2 linked regions of the Arabidopsis thaliana genome follow. The protein of the gene in region 1 interacts with the protein of each later gene in a pairwise test. Each region holds a gene or a part of one and is shown on either strand. Other genes may lie near its edges.

Region 1 (7,082 bases):
TCCTGGAAAAAGGTAATGAGCATCGTGGAGTCATACCATCCGATCTCGTTTTCATCGTAGACGAGAAACCGCATCCCGTTTTCAAACGAGACGGGAATGATCTTGTGGTAATGCAAAAGATTTCTCTAGTGGATGCTCTCACAGGTTACACCGCACAGGTCACTACTCTTGACGGAAGAACCTTAACAGTTCCGGTAAACAATGTGATCAGTCCGTCGTACGAAGAGGTGGTGAAAGGAGAAGGCATGCCGATCCCTAAAGATCCGTCAAGAAAAGGAAACTTGAGAATCAGATTCATCATCAAGTTCCCTTCGAAGCTAACCACTGAGCAGAAATCAGGGATCAAGCGGATGTTATCACCTTGAATGTCCAAAGATTGAAGCATCTCGTTTCAGTTTTTTCAATCTGCTAGCTTTTTTGGAATCTTTTAGAAGCAGAATATGTGCTTATGGTTTTTTTAATTTATTTTGGTTGCATTTTGGTAAGGTTTTTAAGGGAAATACATACCACCAAATGATGCCGGTTTAGTTAGTAATGACTGACGACTAGTGAAGTAAAGTCTCTCCTTATATCTCTTTGCTAAAAGCTTCAATATTTGTTTAATAGTAAACATTGTCAACAGATTTGGAAAGACTAAATCAACGTTTAACAATATGTCAAAATGTAATTCAAATTGATTAATCATAGTAGCGAAATTTGAAGAACCTTTTTCTTTTGTTGATTAAAAAATCCAAATCTCTACGTTTTTCTCACATTCTTCAATCTTCTTGACCTTGTCCCGTTTAATTCCTTCACTAAAATCTTTTCAACCCTCACGTGCTGATGTTGACATGGAATAATTGTTGTTACTTGTCAAATAATAAGAAGAAGAAAAAACAGACTAATGTATGTTCCTCTTTGATTGTTCTGGTTAGGCAAATTACTTGCATATCTCCACATGTACGAATTAGTAATATTCATTCATAAAGTTAGTATGATTTATAGATTCAAAAAAATAAACACAGATCGAGTTTAGTTTAGTCAAATATTTGAATGTTTTCAAGAACAAGAAGAGTTTCTGCAATCAACTGAAATATCATTTTCATGGTCTTGGTTCAAAACCAGCAGTATTACAAACAGTGAGAAAGGTTTTTGGTATTTGTAACAACAATGTATTGTTGCAGTGACTCCAAATTCAAAAATGGAAGTCATGTGCATTCACCAAGTTACGGCAAAAGTAAAAGACTAAACTTATTACTATTTCCGAATAATCCGGAGCGATACCCTAAACAACATTCACCTCAAAAGTTCTAAATAACACGAATAGGCTGATTTTTGTATATATGCTTTTGGCTGACGTTTTTTTTTTGTTCTTTGCTTTAAGACTTCAATTCTTTTAAGCAAAAATTTGGATGGGAAATAAAAAGGATGATGAGGTGGCCTACTTGTATTGAGCGGATAAACATCAGCCAACAAAAATCTTTGTTAAAATAAAAAGTGAAAGACAGAGAGAGAGATGGCCACGTGGACAAACATGGTGGGCGTTTACACGTGGAATATAACAACACTCCGCGTTGCTGATTATTTGATTCCATTTAAATAAAATTAAAAAATACTGATTATTCTTTCTTTTGTTCACAGAAAATTCCTTCATTCACAATTTCTCTTTTAAATAATTAAAGACCACAAATTTTGAACATAAGAATTAGAAAAATTAAAGATCATTCACTAGAGTAGTCGACATTATTATTAATTTAGTATAAATAAATAAGGTGTGAATCCACGTGGGATGACAGGTGGGAGCGAAGTCTAGTGCATGTCATGTAAGATTTTGATTTACTTTCAACACGCTTCATCGCTATTTGGACCACTTCGCTGACTTTTTTTTGTTTTTTTTTTTACTACTGAGTAGTACTAGTATTTCTTACACATATCAGAGCCAAAAATACAACCCCGACGAATCTTTCTTTAGATACAAATAAAAAATATTTACTCCTACAAGTTTCATTCACCGTACGTTTTACTTGTTATATCATTGCAATGACGCGGCTTCTAAATATGTACTACCATATGTGTGTTTGGGAATCTGACAGTTGTATATTGCACTGGATCCAAACCATTTCAGAACAAGAGTACATTTTCTCTGTTCGTACGCATTATTTGTTTTGTGCCGACTGCGAATATAACGATTTCCATTTATTCATATACTAAATATCATACAATCCATAAATGAATAGTCTTCTTTTTTTCTTGGGGGAATTTACAATTCCAATCAAATTAATTTCTTAGCTAATCATAACGGTAGTCTTGTTTTCTGTAACTTAATTCTTCTTCTTTTTTATTTTGATAGGAACGTTAGGTATCTATTATGTAAAACTTGCTAACAACAATTCTCTAATTCTTTGTTTATATCTGATCTCTTCCTCCATGACACGGGGCTAATCTAAACTTCTAAAAGCATATTGATCCAATAGCTTATTTAATATATTTTGTCTGTCAACCATTAGGTTACTTTTGTTACGATGAATTTTTCAAAAGAAAAATACAAGAATTATGGGATGAGGAAAATCTAGTGGGTCAATTGACCATAAAGGCTAAATCGGATTGAAGAATAAAAATCGGATTGTGACTCGTAACTCGTAAGCGTGACGAAATATTAACGCAACATTTATATGTATTGGGACAAATTATTAACGAATAACTACCAAATGCAAAAAATACGAGACAGTTGAGTACTTGAGCTTGGTCACAAAATCATCATCAAGGAAAAACAATAACCATACAGTAAAAATATAGTTCTACAACTTTACAAATTTGAAAGCGTGTTTAGAATGATGCACACAAATAATCAATCTGTCAAAAAAAAACATATTGTTTGATTTTACTCTAAGATTAAGGCGATTGTTTTTACTTAAGATATTCTTAACTGATGCAAGTTACCCCTGTAATTGTTTGAGATTGCTATTTTTAAACTCTAGAATACGAAGAAAAAAAAAGTATGAATTATTTAGTTAGCTGCTTTAAATCTAGAGTTTATCATCCGAAAAAGGGATATCTAAGCTTTATTATTTTTAATGTAATCACGAATTGTGTCCTTTTCACCAAAAGAGTCATTCGTGTTCGTATTTTATTCAACTAAATAATTCTATAAGTTCTAGTATATTCAATAATTATTAAAAAATCTCATCTTAATAATTTTAATTAGAGAAAAGAACAAAAAACTACACTTCTATCGTCCCTCTACGATTTCACACCTTCTTTTCACACATCCTTATAAATTAATTAGATTCTTCTCTTTTCTCTCCTTCCTCTCTGTCTTCTCTTCTTTTTTTCAATGAAACCTCTCTTCATTTATAAGTAACCCAACAAAAAAATAAAATTATCTCCCTCTTATTTCTTCTCTTCACGTCACAAAGACAATTCGATTCCAAATAATGGACCGACGTAACCCTTTCCAACATCACCACCACCACCATCAGCTTCATCATCACTTGATCCAACAGCAACAGCTTCCTCCGCCGCCGCTGAGCACCACGGCGACGATGGATCCCGGCGGAGGAGGAGGAGGTGGGGAGAGAATCCCACAGTGGAGCATAGAGGAGACAAAGGAGCTTTTGGCTATAAGAGAAGAACTTGATCAAACTTTCATGGAGACCAAACGTAATAAGCTTCTTTGGGAAGTCGTGGCTGCTAAGATGGCCGACAAGGGTTTTGTCCGAAGCGCAGAACAATGTAAGAGCAAGTGGAAGAACCTCGTCACTAGATACAAGGTTACCCTTCAACTCTTTAGAATCCTATTGATGATTCTCTCTATATATAGTCCCGATATATACACCTATAAATGTTTAGTATGATCATGATTACAAGTATATACAAACTATAATTATGTGTATCATGTATTTCATCACTAGTTTGTGTGGTTAGACTGATATTATGCATATTGAAATGGAAACCTAGTTTATGGTGTATGTATAGGTGAACTACATTATATATACATCAATTAATGAGCTTAACCTAATCGCCTAGGTTTTTTAGATATTGTCCTGTCATTAATGGTAACGAGCTATAGAATAGAATTTTACGCGTTTATTGGTGAGCTTTCATCATGATATTGTCTATGTTCACATTTTGATCCGTTATACCATAATATCTCTCTTTTTGTTCGTTGATCACATGGTAAGTAAGTAACACAATATGCCATAAAAATATAATTACCGTTATATAACGGGTGCATAAGATTTAATAAGAACCGTTACTGATGAACACATGAAGATAGTTGAAAAAGTCTATACACACATTTATTTAAGGTAAAAGAAACGTGATATAGATGATGAACATGTGTTTTTGTTTTCCTATGATATATGATTTCGAGTTAAGATACTTGGTTAGCTAAAATATTTTGCGTCGGTACTATTACGTGTTTACATATAATTGTTTATATAACATAATGAATATTCATGGGACAGGCGTGTGAGACCACTGAGCCAGATGCTATTAGGCAGCAGTTCCCATTCTACAATGAGATTCAGTCGATTTTTGAAGCAAGAATGCAAAGAATGCTGTGGTCAGAAGCCACAGAACCAAGCACTTCCTCGAAGAGAAAACATCATCAATTTTCATCTGATGATGAAGAAGAAGAAGTTGACGAACCAAATCAAGATATCAACGAGGAATTATTGTCTTTAGTAGAGACACAGAAAAGAGAGACAGAAGTGATTACTACTAGTACTTCGACCAATCCAAGAAAACGTGCAAAAAAAGGAAAAGGCGTTGCGAGTGGTACGAAAGCTGAAACTGCGGGTAATACACTAAAAGATATATTGGAGGAGTTTATGAGGCAAACGGTGAAGATGGAAAAGGAATGGAGAGATGCATGGGAGATGAAGGAGATAGAGAGGGAGAAGAGAGAGAAAGAGTGGCGGAGGAGAATGGCGGAGCTAGAGGAGGAAAGAGCCGCCACAGAAAGGAGGTGGATGGAGAGAGAGGAAGAGAGACGGTTGAGAGAAGAAGCTAGGGCTCAGAAGAGAGATTCTCTCATCGATGCTTTGCTTAATAGGCTTAATAGAGATCATAATGATGATCATCATAATCAAGGTTTCTAAGTTCTCATTATTTGTGTTAAGCATAAGTTAATTAGCTAGTTAATTTGTTAGGCAAATCAATTTAGATAATATATCTAAATTAATGTTTGTTTTATAATATTTATATGAACTATTGAAATTTCCAAAAAGAAAGATAAATGTTCAAATTTTGATATATGTTATCGTGGTATGAAAATGAATTTATCCTTCTAAAAACAAAAAAAATCCTGGTGGAGAAAAATAAACCTTCAATATTAGAGGAAGAAAAATAAATAGAGAGGGAGTAAAACGAGCAGGCAATTACTAAATATAATATAAGGTAACATGTGAATTAACTAAACGATAAGAATAAGAATTAATAAATCATTTAATAGTTTACGTACATGCATAAAACAATTGTATAGATATTAATTAGATATGCTAGTTTGAATTATATTGTTCATAGTTATAGGTGTCCAAAACCAAATTGGTTGAATACTTTTAGCTACTTTATTCTGTTAATAAGAATATTTCATAACGATTAATCAGGCGATAAACAAGAATTAAACAAAAGTCTTTATTCCAAAACTTTCAATTCACATTTGTCCCACATTACTTCACCGCGTTATTTGTGTGATATATAAAACTTATTTTGTTCATAAGTAAATTGTAAAGAAAGAATTTGTTATTTTTATTCTTTTCTTCTCTTGCAAGACAGCTACCAACAGATAAAAATACCGAAAACATGAAACCGTGTTATAACGCGTTCACACTAATATATCCGTTCATTTTAAAAAACACGTATTACTAATACGCCGCGTCAGCTCAATTGTATAGAGCCGTGTGACCAACTCTGTGAGGTCACCAGTTCGAATACAAGGACCTTCAATATTTACCACTTTTTCGTTGGCAAAAAAATAGTTTATGACTAAATGAAATAATTATAATTCGAAACTTAAATAATTTAGAGTGGGAAAATGTTCTTGAATTTTACATGTGAACCCCCCAAAAAAAACACAGAAAAGTACAAAAAAACGTCAAAGAAGTAACGTTAGAAGGAGACCATGATTTGCATGTGAAATAGACATAAAGGAGACAGTACGTATTTCGAAGTTACGGAGCTCTCCAAAATTCAGAAGAAAACCGATTTGACCGTTTTTGGACCCACTACATGTATTTATAATGCATTTGATAATTCGTCATATCGAATTTGAATTTAATTTCATTCTTATGATCGAGTATTCGAGTCACTAAGATTATCCTTGTGCTTATTTGGTGATATTCGCCATATACATACTTGTGTTTTGGATAGGTATATTTGTCTATAGGACTATTTAAGACGAGTACATTATAGTCTTTAGTACTAATCATAAATGTTAACCATAATTTTTCTGGTCAATAACTTATATTGGCCGCATAACACTTTTAGAAAATATGGAGTGATGAAAATTTCGATTGTTGTGAGTCTCTGGTTAACATTTGGATTACAAGATTTTAAAACGACATATTTCTGATAATTGGGAATTTAAACTAGATACAGAGTTCATCAACTAGCTGGTCCATAACAAGGTCAAGAATCTCTTGACCAAATTCGACACAAAAATCTTCGACCTGAGTAAAGTCAACGGGTTTAGTTGACGAAGTAGAAACCCAAGTGGAAGACTTCATGTCTTCTTCAGACAGATCTGAGAGCATATTCATTAGTTTTGTGATAAACTCTGTCTCTTCTGAATCATTGTTGGTGCTATTGTTGTTTTCTTTCTTGGTACTTGTTTTTGTTTTTGCTGGTGATGAAGAACATGAAGATTTTGTTGCTGTCTCTACTTGCTTTGTTGACAACTCCGATGCACTTTCTGAATCTCCTCCTGTTTTATTTTTCAAATTAAAGTGACGTTTAAAATATGATTGGGCAAATAAAAATAAAATTTCTCGAAAATGTTGAGAAAGTCTCATTTTCGCAGCTTTTTTTACAGTAAAATCAAGAAAAATGTTAAAAGCGAAAATGTTCTTATATTGGTTAAATTTAATCATTTTTCAAATAAA
Region 2 (8,533 bases), on another chromosome or scaffold:
TTGGTCATTCTTGTTTTGATAAGTACTTGTTGTGAGTCTCCATCGAAGAAGCGAAAGAGGAAAGGAAAGAATGTGTCTCCACCTAAGAAAAAGGGGAAACTTAGCAAGCGCACAATACATTGTAATAAATGTGGTCAAGCAGGGCACAATTCTCGTTCATGTGGTAAGAGAGCTCTTCAGGTTAGTCTCTTTTCATCTTGAGTTCAGTAATGTTACACTGTTGCTGTGGTGGTGTCTTCTTGCTGGTAAATGGTTGTGTTTTCAGGCTTGTGTTAGTAGTGGATTGCTAAAGAAAGCAACTCAATCTCAGCGAAATACTCAACAAGTAGAAGATTAGAAGCAAGTGTGTGGATTGTTTCCTTTGGCTTCTTAGTAGGGTTTTTGTTGCCTTCTTAATAATTTTTGTGGCTCATAGTTTAGTGGTGTTTTGCACTAAAGATAGGTTAAGGTTTTGGTGATAAGTATCTGTTAGAAGCAGAACTCTCGCGTCGATCTATGATACTTATAAGTTCCAATGTTGAATTAACACATTGTCTTACTAGTTTTTGGATTCAATTTACAACATTCTTAAAGCTTTGATTCAAATGATATCAAGCAACCTGAGTGATCATTGTTATATCTCCATCTCCTCATGCAAGCGCTTATCCAGAGTTAGCTTAGTCGTAACGTAAAATTTCATTCGCATGTAGCATCAATGTTGGTTTCTAATCAACAAGTTAGCTCACGCTTGATCACCCAAACGCAAAGTAGTTGTGTCCATAGTTGTATATGTTGTGTATCGAATAAGATGGTTTTATACATCACCACGGTCTATTATGATCATCATTGGAATCTATACACAGTTCAATACTAACAATCAACAGAAAAATATTTCTTATAACTTTTGCATTGATCAAGGAACTCAGTTCTAGAGCACACGAGATGTAAAAATCTACCGGAGAAGTCACTAAAAAGTAGTTCAACATTTCAGAATAGTTTACAGTTCCAGGCGATAAATAAACCAAGCCCTGGTAAAAAGTGGACAAGACAAGACCTCACTGTTCTTGTCAATAACCAGGGTGAAATTAGTCCAAATTTCAATCCCTGTAAGGCTGTAACTCAAGAAATCTCTAATCTGCTTTTACAAGGACAAGCAGATTCTAAGTAAAGACAACAACATGCGAAAAGCAAACATATCCGCTTTTCGCTGGTCGATCAGATCTATAGACGCCTTTCGGGTTAGTAGCAACGAACCCTTTCTCGCTATTTCACTGACCGACTCTTTTCACTAGCCTCATGTGCCAAAGAGTTGCAACCTTCGTCTTTCCAGCTCAAGCTGCGATAAAAGCAAAATTGCATTACTATCACACCCAAGGCTTGATCAACGTTACACGATTGAATGCAAATGACTAATATAACACCAGAGGCTTAATTGGCATTACACAATGAACTGAAAGTGACGCTTACCACTTTCTTGACTCGGTTGTTGGCAGCATCAGTTCCTCCAAAGACACAATCTGAAAGATACGGGCTACGAACGCGTACCTCTTTCATCACCAGAATGTCTGAGTTTTCCCATTGCACAGGAAGCCTAAAAGGAAAATAATTCACATGTGATTCATTCGAAAGAGAAAAAGCAAATTCAAACAAAGAAAGTTTAAGGATTTATGTAGTCTAAAACTATGTATCTAGACAGCTTCTTAACTGTATCAGTATCACAAAGAAGACTAAAGATACTTGACACTAGAGCCCACAACATATGTAATCTACAACAACCACAAACATAGAAACTTTACATATATATAGTTGCAAACTAGCATCACCGGAAACCAAGAGCAAAACAACACTAAATCATGTCCAGATCCTAACAATTTATCTTTGGGAATAACACATTAGACGCACAAAACAAAATCCTCCAACCCAAGCAATTGTTTACAAAGAACTAATAGTTCAACTAAACAACATTAGATTACGATCTCGTCCCACCTCTCTACCGTATACTCTAAGCTGTGTTTCCTTCTTAGAGATTAGCTTATTTTTCGATCCGAAAACGTATAAAAAGAGAAGATCCTTACGTCTTAGACAACGCGTCGAAGATGCTCTGAGCCTCAGCGGTAACACCAACTCCCATTCTTTCAGCATCTGCTTCCGCTTGCCTGTGCTCAATACGTTTTCCCAAGTAAGCTCAAAACAAGCAAATAGCAATAAAAATTGCATTTTGAAAGGATTCAACAACAAAATATCTTATCACCTGATAGCAAGTGCCTCTTTAGCTCGGAGACCATTAAGATCAACAGAAAAGTTGTCTGAATCAAGTGGATCTTCAGTTTTGCCTAAATACGAAAGCCCTGTAATAAAACTCGCATTCACCATCCGAGTGTTCTTCAAATGCCCAGGTCTAGGTTTTGTACCCTCTTGTAATAACCAATAACTCGTCAAGGATAACACAATTCAGGTCAAGACATTGAAAATACCTAAATCTCAAATTTTGATGAAACAAACAATTAAAGAAATTAAGGATATCAAAAAAGACGAAGTTGGGGATGGGGTCGTAAGCCATGACGATCCCTCTGAACTCATCTCCGGTGATCACCTTCACTGAATAAATATTCCCCACCGCGAATTTCTCTCCTTCTCCTCCGATTGCGCTGGCCACCGATGCTCCTGCTGGATCCATGGCGGCCGTCCTCGCTCCTCCTCCGTCTTCTGAAATCGCCGAACTTCGGAAAAATTAAAACTATATATATCGCAATATGGGCCTTAAGCCCAAATAGCTACTGGCTTATAACAGTTTCCTCATTTTTATATCAGTATATGGGCCATAAGGGCCCAATAACTACTGAGCTTCATGATTAGTTCAAAACGCGGCGTTTTAAAGATTAGTGTATGACTGTTACTTTATCCATTTTATTTCGTTATAAACAGATTAGCGAACACTGAACCACAATCAAATCGGAGAAAATCGTGTGTGTGTGTGTCAATGGCGGCTTTAAGCATCTCACTAGCTTTCTCTGTTGATTCTCTCAAACCAACCCAATCAACGAAGTTTGGCTTCTCGTCTTCTTCACATAGATATCCATTACTCTACTCGTGTAAATCTCACCGCTCCAATCTCAGATTCGCTTTCCCTCCTTCTTCAGTTTCGACAGCTACAGAAACTGGAGAAGAAAACTCTAAATCGACCGGGAATTACGCGTTTCTAGAGGAATCGTTTCGTACCGGGAGGTTTTTGAGTAACGATGAGTTAGAGAAGCTTAAAACTCTTGAAGGATTTGCGTATTTTCAAGAGCTTGAATCTGGATCGATGTGGGTTCGAGTTATGAGACATGAAGAGATGGATTCAACGGTGCATCTATTGGCTGAGTCATTTGGTGAATCGATGTTATTACCTTCTGGTTATCAGTCTGTGTTACGGTTTTTGATTAAGCAGTATTTGATTGAGAGAAGAGAAGTGTTGCCACACGCAGTTACTTTAGTTGGTTTCTTTAGGAAAAAAGTTGATGAGTTTAGTGATGATGGAGAGGAGGAGGCTGTGATGGCTGGAACTGTTGAGGTTTGTTTGGAGAAACGAGGCGCTAATGCTTCTCCTCCTTCTCCAACTCCTCCTAAGGAATCACCTTATATCTGTAACATGACTGTCAAAGAGGATCTTAGAAGGAGAGGAATTGGGTGGCATTTGTTGAAGGCGAGTGAGGAACTGATATCTCAGATTAGTCCATCAAAAGATGTATACTTGCATTGTAGGATGGTTGATGAGGCTCCTTTCAATATGTACAAGAAGGCAGGATACGAGGTTGTTAAGACAGATACAGTTTTGGTCCTTCTGATGTTACAGCGGCGTAAGCATTTGATGCGGAAGAAACTTCTTCCACTATGCACCAATCCTATAGTAGAAATGGTGGGGTCTGATAATGAGCTGACCTCCTCTGCAAATGTGTAAACATGGGTACAGTTTTTCCATCAGTGTACCAATTAGCTTTTAGTCTTCTTCTCAACCTTTTCTGAATTTATAACAAACATTGTGATTGGCTTTATTATGTAGGAGCTAAATGTGACATGACCAAGGGTCGGGTTGATAATCCCGTTTGCTTCGACCTATTGTTTATATGATCTTAGTAGAGGTACTCCACACACACTCTTATCTTTGTTATCTGCTTCCTGTATTGGCAGCGATTGTATTTCTTGTTCATAGACATGTGGTTAATTCTTTAGGCATTAGGCGAAAGAAGGAAAGAAAAAACAAGACTACACCCCTGAATTTATGTACTCATTTCTCTTAAAGCAAAACATTCATAGCAGCAAATACAACATACTATACGGATACATCTAGTGCTTGATTTTCTTAGTGAAATTATAGTATATATATCCAAATAATATCGCTTGATCAAAGTTTCCTAGCTGGAAGTTGAATTGAAATTATCCGGTAATTCATAATTAGTATTGTTTGTTTATATTTATCAAGTGTTTTTTTATCAGTGACCTCTCATTTTAGGAAAAATGACAGTAATCCATTTTACTTGTTTCGAAGAATTCAGTGTCTAGAGCCTTCTGAATGTAGGAATCGTCCCACCCAAACCACCCTTCGAGTTTGTGTAGATAATTAGTTGCAGTTCCTTAACACAATCCATCACTGAAGGTCGCTCTTTACTCTCTATACGGATGCACCGTGATGCTAGATCAGCAAACATGGTTATAGCTTCCATGCTGTATGAATTCCGAGGCAGCTCGACATCTATAACCTTACGCAATTTCTTTCTATCATTCAGTATATTCCTAACCTGAAACGTAGAGATAATTGATCAGTTTATTCCTATGTTAAGTTTCCTGATCTTTGAACTTTTTGTGTTTGTGAATCATAGAACCTAAAAGGTCCATTTTACCTGTAGCACCAGGTTCTGTTCATTTGGGCCCTGAGTTAAGTCAACTGCTCTGCGTCCAGTAAGTAGTTCTAGCAGCACAACCCCAAATGCATAAATGTCGCTTTGTAGAGTAAGTTTACCTGTCTGCCACAGAAGAAGGGAACAAAAATTATGCTAAAAATTGTCCTCCGTTGCCTATTGGCTCTGATATGTGAGTGTGATTAAAGTTCCTTTTCCAGGCTATTTTATGTCATTACTAGCAAGTTTTAATTTTTCTTAAGTAGTGTCTAGTTTACCCTATCGGAAGAGAATCATGTGTGAAATATAAGTAAGAATCTTTACCGATGTATATTCTGGGTCGAAATAGCCGAATGTTCCTAGAACTCTTGCTGTGACACAAGTATCCTTTCCTTCTGGCATCAACTTTGCTAGTCCAAAGTCGGATATCTGCAAGGATTACACTCACATCTTAGTTTTAGTCTATGCTTGGTATTAGTGCTGCATAAACCCTCCATTTCTATTAACTGTATAAGAACCTTTGCATTATAATTGGAGTCTAGTAGAACGTTGGTGGATTTGAAGTCTCTGTGAACAATTGGAATCCCAACAGAAGAACTTGAATGGAGATACGCGAGTCCTTTTGCTGCTCCTAGTGCAATTCTGAGCCTTATTGGCCAGCTTATTTTTGCTTCTTTGATTCCTGTGATAAAGACGCGGTTTAGTCGCCAATTGGTTTTAGTGGATTGGGCTCTTATTTTGTTGACTTACCATTCAAATGATCTTGCAGGTTTCCATTTTGCATATATTCATATACTAGGAACCGGTGTTTCCCATCTGCACAATAGCCGATCAAAGAGACCAGATTTGGGTGGTCGAGTCTGCTCAAGATATCCACCTCCACACGAAATTCTCTTTCTCCGTCAGCCTTTTTAAACGTAGGTAAATCCATCTTCTTGATTGCAACAACCTTCAAATAACAAGGGATTAAGATATGTATCCTACTCTAATAGCTCCTCTTCGATAGAAAAGTTTTTGTAACATTACAAAGCCTGTAAATCACATAAATGAAGCTATATAGTTCCTACCTCTCCTGTTTTTAAAGTGCCTTGGTAAACTCGGCCAAAGCCTCCTTTACCGAGGAGATTCTCATCACTGAAAGAACTTGTGGCCTCCTCCATCTCCTTGAGGGTATAAACTGATGACCCGAATCTTCGCTTCCTTGGCTGAGAAGCCTGATCTTCGATTTGCCAGCATTCTGCTGTTCTGTAGACCCCTGAGAAGAAGGTTAGTTTCAAACAGATGGTGATTCAGTTTTACCTAAACCCTTTATATTCAGTAGTAGTAATGTCGAAAAACAAAAACAGTAACATACTTTTATGCCATCTGGCGAAGATGATGGAGAAAAGGAACGTACATGGATCCGTATCATATGATTTGCTTCTCCTTCTCTTGTTCCAAGCCGAAACAAGTGGAAAATGCATAGCTTTAGTTTGGATTTGGTTTTTTCTTATCCTTTGTAGACCATTACAAAGCCGATAGAAGAAGCTTCTGGTCTCGTCCTTAAGACAGAAGGGTATGTGTCTTTCTAGTCGTGAAGATGTTCTTTGTAGTTAGTTGCTTCCAAAGAAACAGAAGATTGTTGTGGTTGAAGATGATAAATATAGAGTGCAATAAAGTTAATTGATTTTGAGGGTTAGGTTTCTGAAATACTCAACAGCAGTATTTCAACTACCGAAAGTTCAAGAGAGAGAGAAAGAGACGGTAGAGCTGAAGAATACGTAGATTACATGTACGTGAAGCAAAAGAAATTGAGAGCCATCTTGAGAAAGTAAAGACTTGATGTTTCCTTAACTTTTCTAAGCTCAAATTCTCGGTTTGGTTCTCTTGTCTGAATCTATCTCCTTCTAACCAGTTTGTGTACGTACGTATCTCTGTCGATCAAATAGAGATGGGAAGCTGCTTTCAGAGTGTTTCCTTACCCTTTTCGTCTCAACTTTTTTCTCTAGACTTCTATATTACTATTTACTAATGTTGTTTTCATAGTTCGTTGAGAGAGAGATTATAAAAGTTAAACTTTATAAGTGGAGAAAACCTATAATTTTCTTAAAGCAATCTTAGTTTTTTTTAATAAGATTGACAAATCCTAGGATACTGTAACTTTAACGTATCCAATTGTATATTAAGGATTTGGGTTCGGATGAACTTTTGCTTCGAATAGAAATGATGACTCATTCTTAGAACATTTTTATTTTACGATTGAAGAGTGGTTGTCGTTTTATATCAATGGAAACCAACATGCTGTTTTCTCGCACAATGGTGAAATCAAAGTACCTAACGATGAAGAAATTGTTTTGGCTTTATTGCATTGCACCTAACCATGCCAGTGCCACCAAGAAGATTATTGTAGAAAATAAAGAGGAAACATTCAGCTCTTTATGATTAGAAAGTTTTATTCTTATGAAATGCAATTTGCAATTATTAAGTTGTTATGTTTGACTAATTGTGTGACGTGAACGTTTACTGATTTATTTTTGATCAATGATAATACATTATTTATAACCATTTAAATCTCATCATGTTTCACATATTGGCCCACAGTTATTATGAGAGGTCGTAAATGAGAACCAATTATGTAAAATATGCTACTTCACTTACTTGGTTCTTCAGATCGATTGTGTGACATTACCATTGTTCAACAAAGAACCAAGTAAGTGATCTGAAAAAATGGTAATCTCACAAAATCGATCTGAAGAAATACGAACAAGGGATTAGTTTATCTCTAGGCCATAAACACTCTCTATGATAAATAGTTTTTCAAATAAATCAAACAATTGAAACTTTGATCTAAAAACCTTGAAAGAAGAGAAACCAATTAATCAAGTGTTAAAAAGGGTAGATATAATCATGAAAAGTTGAAATAATTTTGTTTCCTAAAAATTTAAATCCATAATAAGAAAAATATATATGTAGATGAGTGTAGCCATAAAAATAACGTGTATGAATATATGAAAAATATCTAGATTTTTTTTTTTTTTTTTTTTGGCCGATAGACTCTCAATACTATATGTTTTTCAACATTTATCACCGACAATTTTGTTTTAAAGCAGTACAAAACCAGTTTTAATTTCTTTGTACTGAATGTTATACCATGCATCGATTTATTGATTCATCCACCTCTTTGAGTGGGTGAGATAGCAATGAAGAATGGCAAATGTATAAGCTTTAGGTTAATTTTAAAAAGGACCCATAGGATGAAAAATTAGTTGGATGAGTTGCTCCACATAGTTAATGCAATTTATCATATCACTAAAGGCTTTAAAACCTCTCTATATATAGACACGTTCATTGACAAGTTATACAAACAAATCATTCAAAGACATACAAAATAATTGAGTTTTTTTTTTAATTAGAAACAAATGGGGTTGAGTGGTGTTCTTCATGTGGAGGTTGAGGTTAAGTCTCCGGCTGAAAAGTTCTGGGTAGCCCTTGGCGACGGCATCAATCTCTTCCCCAAAGCTTTCCCTAACGACTACAAAACCATCCAAGTTCTAGCCGGCGATGGCAACGCTCCTGGCTCCATTCGCCTCATTACTTATGGAGAAGGTACATTTCTCATTTTGTCTTTAATTTGTAACCATAATTAATAAATCATGTTTCGAATAAATACCTAAATGGCTAATTAAGTAATTAGCATA

The links. Proteins that work in one complex are often made in the same cells at the same time.
Region 2: the proteins of AT5G01380 (region 1) and AT1G24040 interact in a two-hybrid assay, tested with the Arabidopsis thaliana proteins (one large-scale study listed by BioGRID).

What each region holds. Positions count from the first base shown.
Region 1 is NC_003076.8:153,783-160,864, reverse strand, and holds AT5G01380 (Homeodomain-like superfamily protein), read left to right. Parts: upstream 1-3,263; 5' UTR 3,264-3,413; coding exon 3,414-3,749; intron 3,750-4,445; coding exon 4,446-5,081; 3' UTR 5,082-5,255; downstream 5,256-7,082. Other genes in the region: AT5G01390 (DNAJ heat shock family protein), read left to right, coding at 1-365; ACI1 (ALC-interacting protein 1), read right to left, coding at 6,570-6,904. UniProt on the Arabidopsis thaliana protein: Probable transcription factor that binds specifically to the core DNA sequence 5'-GTTAC-3'.
Region 2 is NC_003070.9:8,501,180-8,509,712, reverse strand, and holds AT1G24040 (Acyl-CoA N-acyltransferases (NAT) superfamily protein), read left to right. Parts: upstream 1-2,917; 5' UTR 2,918-2,959; coding exon 2,960-3,919; 3' UTR 3,920-3,925; exon of another isoform or gene 3,926-4,021; 3' UTR 4,022-4,100; intron 4,101-4,252; exon of another isoform or gene 4,253-4,517; coding exon of another isoform or gene 4,518-4,757; intron 4,758-4,841; coding exon of another isoform or gene 4,842-4,982; intron 4,983-5,135; coding exon of another isoform or gene 5,136-5,285; intron 5,286-5,374; coding exon of another isoform or gene 5,375-5,538; intron 5,539-5,606; coding exon of another isoform or gene 5,607-5,805; 3' UTR 5,806-5,923; downstream 5,924-8,533. Other genes in the region: AT1G24050 (RNA-processing, Lsm domain-containing protein), read right to left, coding at 1,274-1,315, 1,447-1,570, 2,055-2,135, 2,231-2,396, 2,503-2,656; AT1G24030 (Protein kinase superfamily protein), read right to left, coding at 4,518-4,757, 4,860-4,982, 5,181-5,285, 5,375-5,538, 5,607-5,805, 5,924-6,111, 6,211-6,319; MLP423 (MLP-like protein 423), read left to right, coding at 8,255-8,441. UniProt on the Arabidopsis thaliana protein: Protein acetyltransferase with dual specificity triggering both N-alpha-acetylation (NTA), with a large spectrum of modified N-termini, including methionine, alanine, serine and to a lower extent threonine and valine as substrates, and epsilon-lysine acetylation (KA).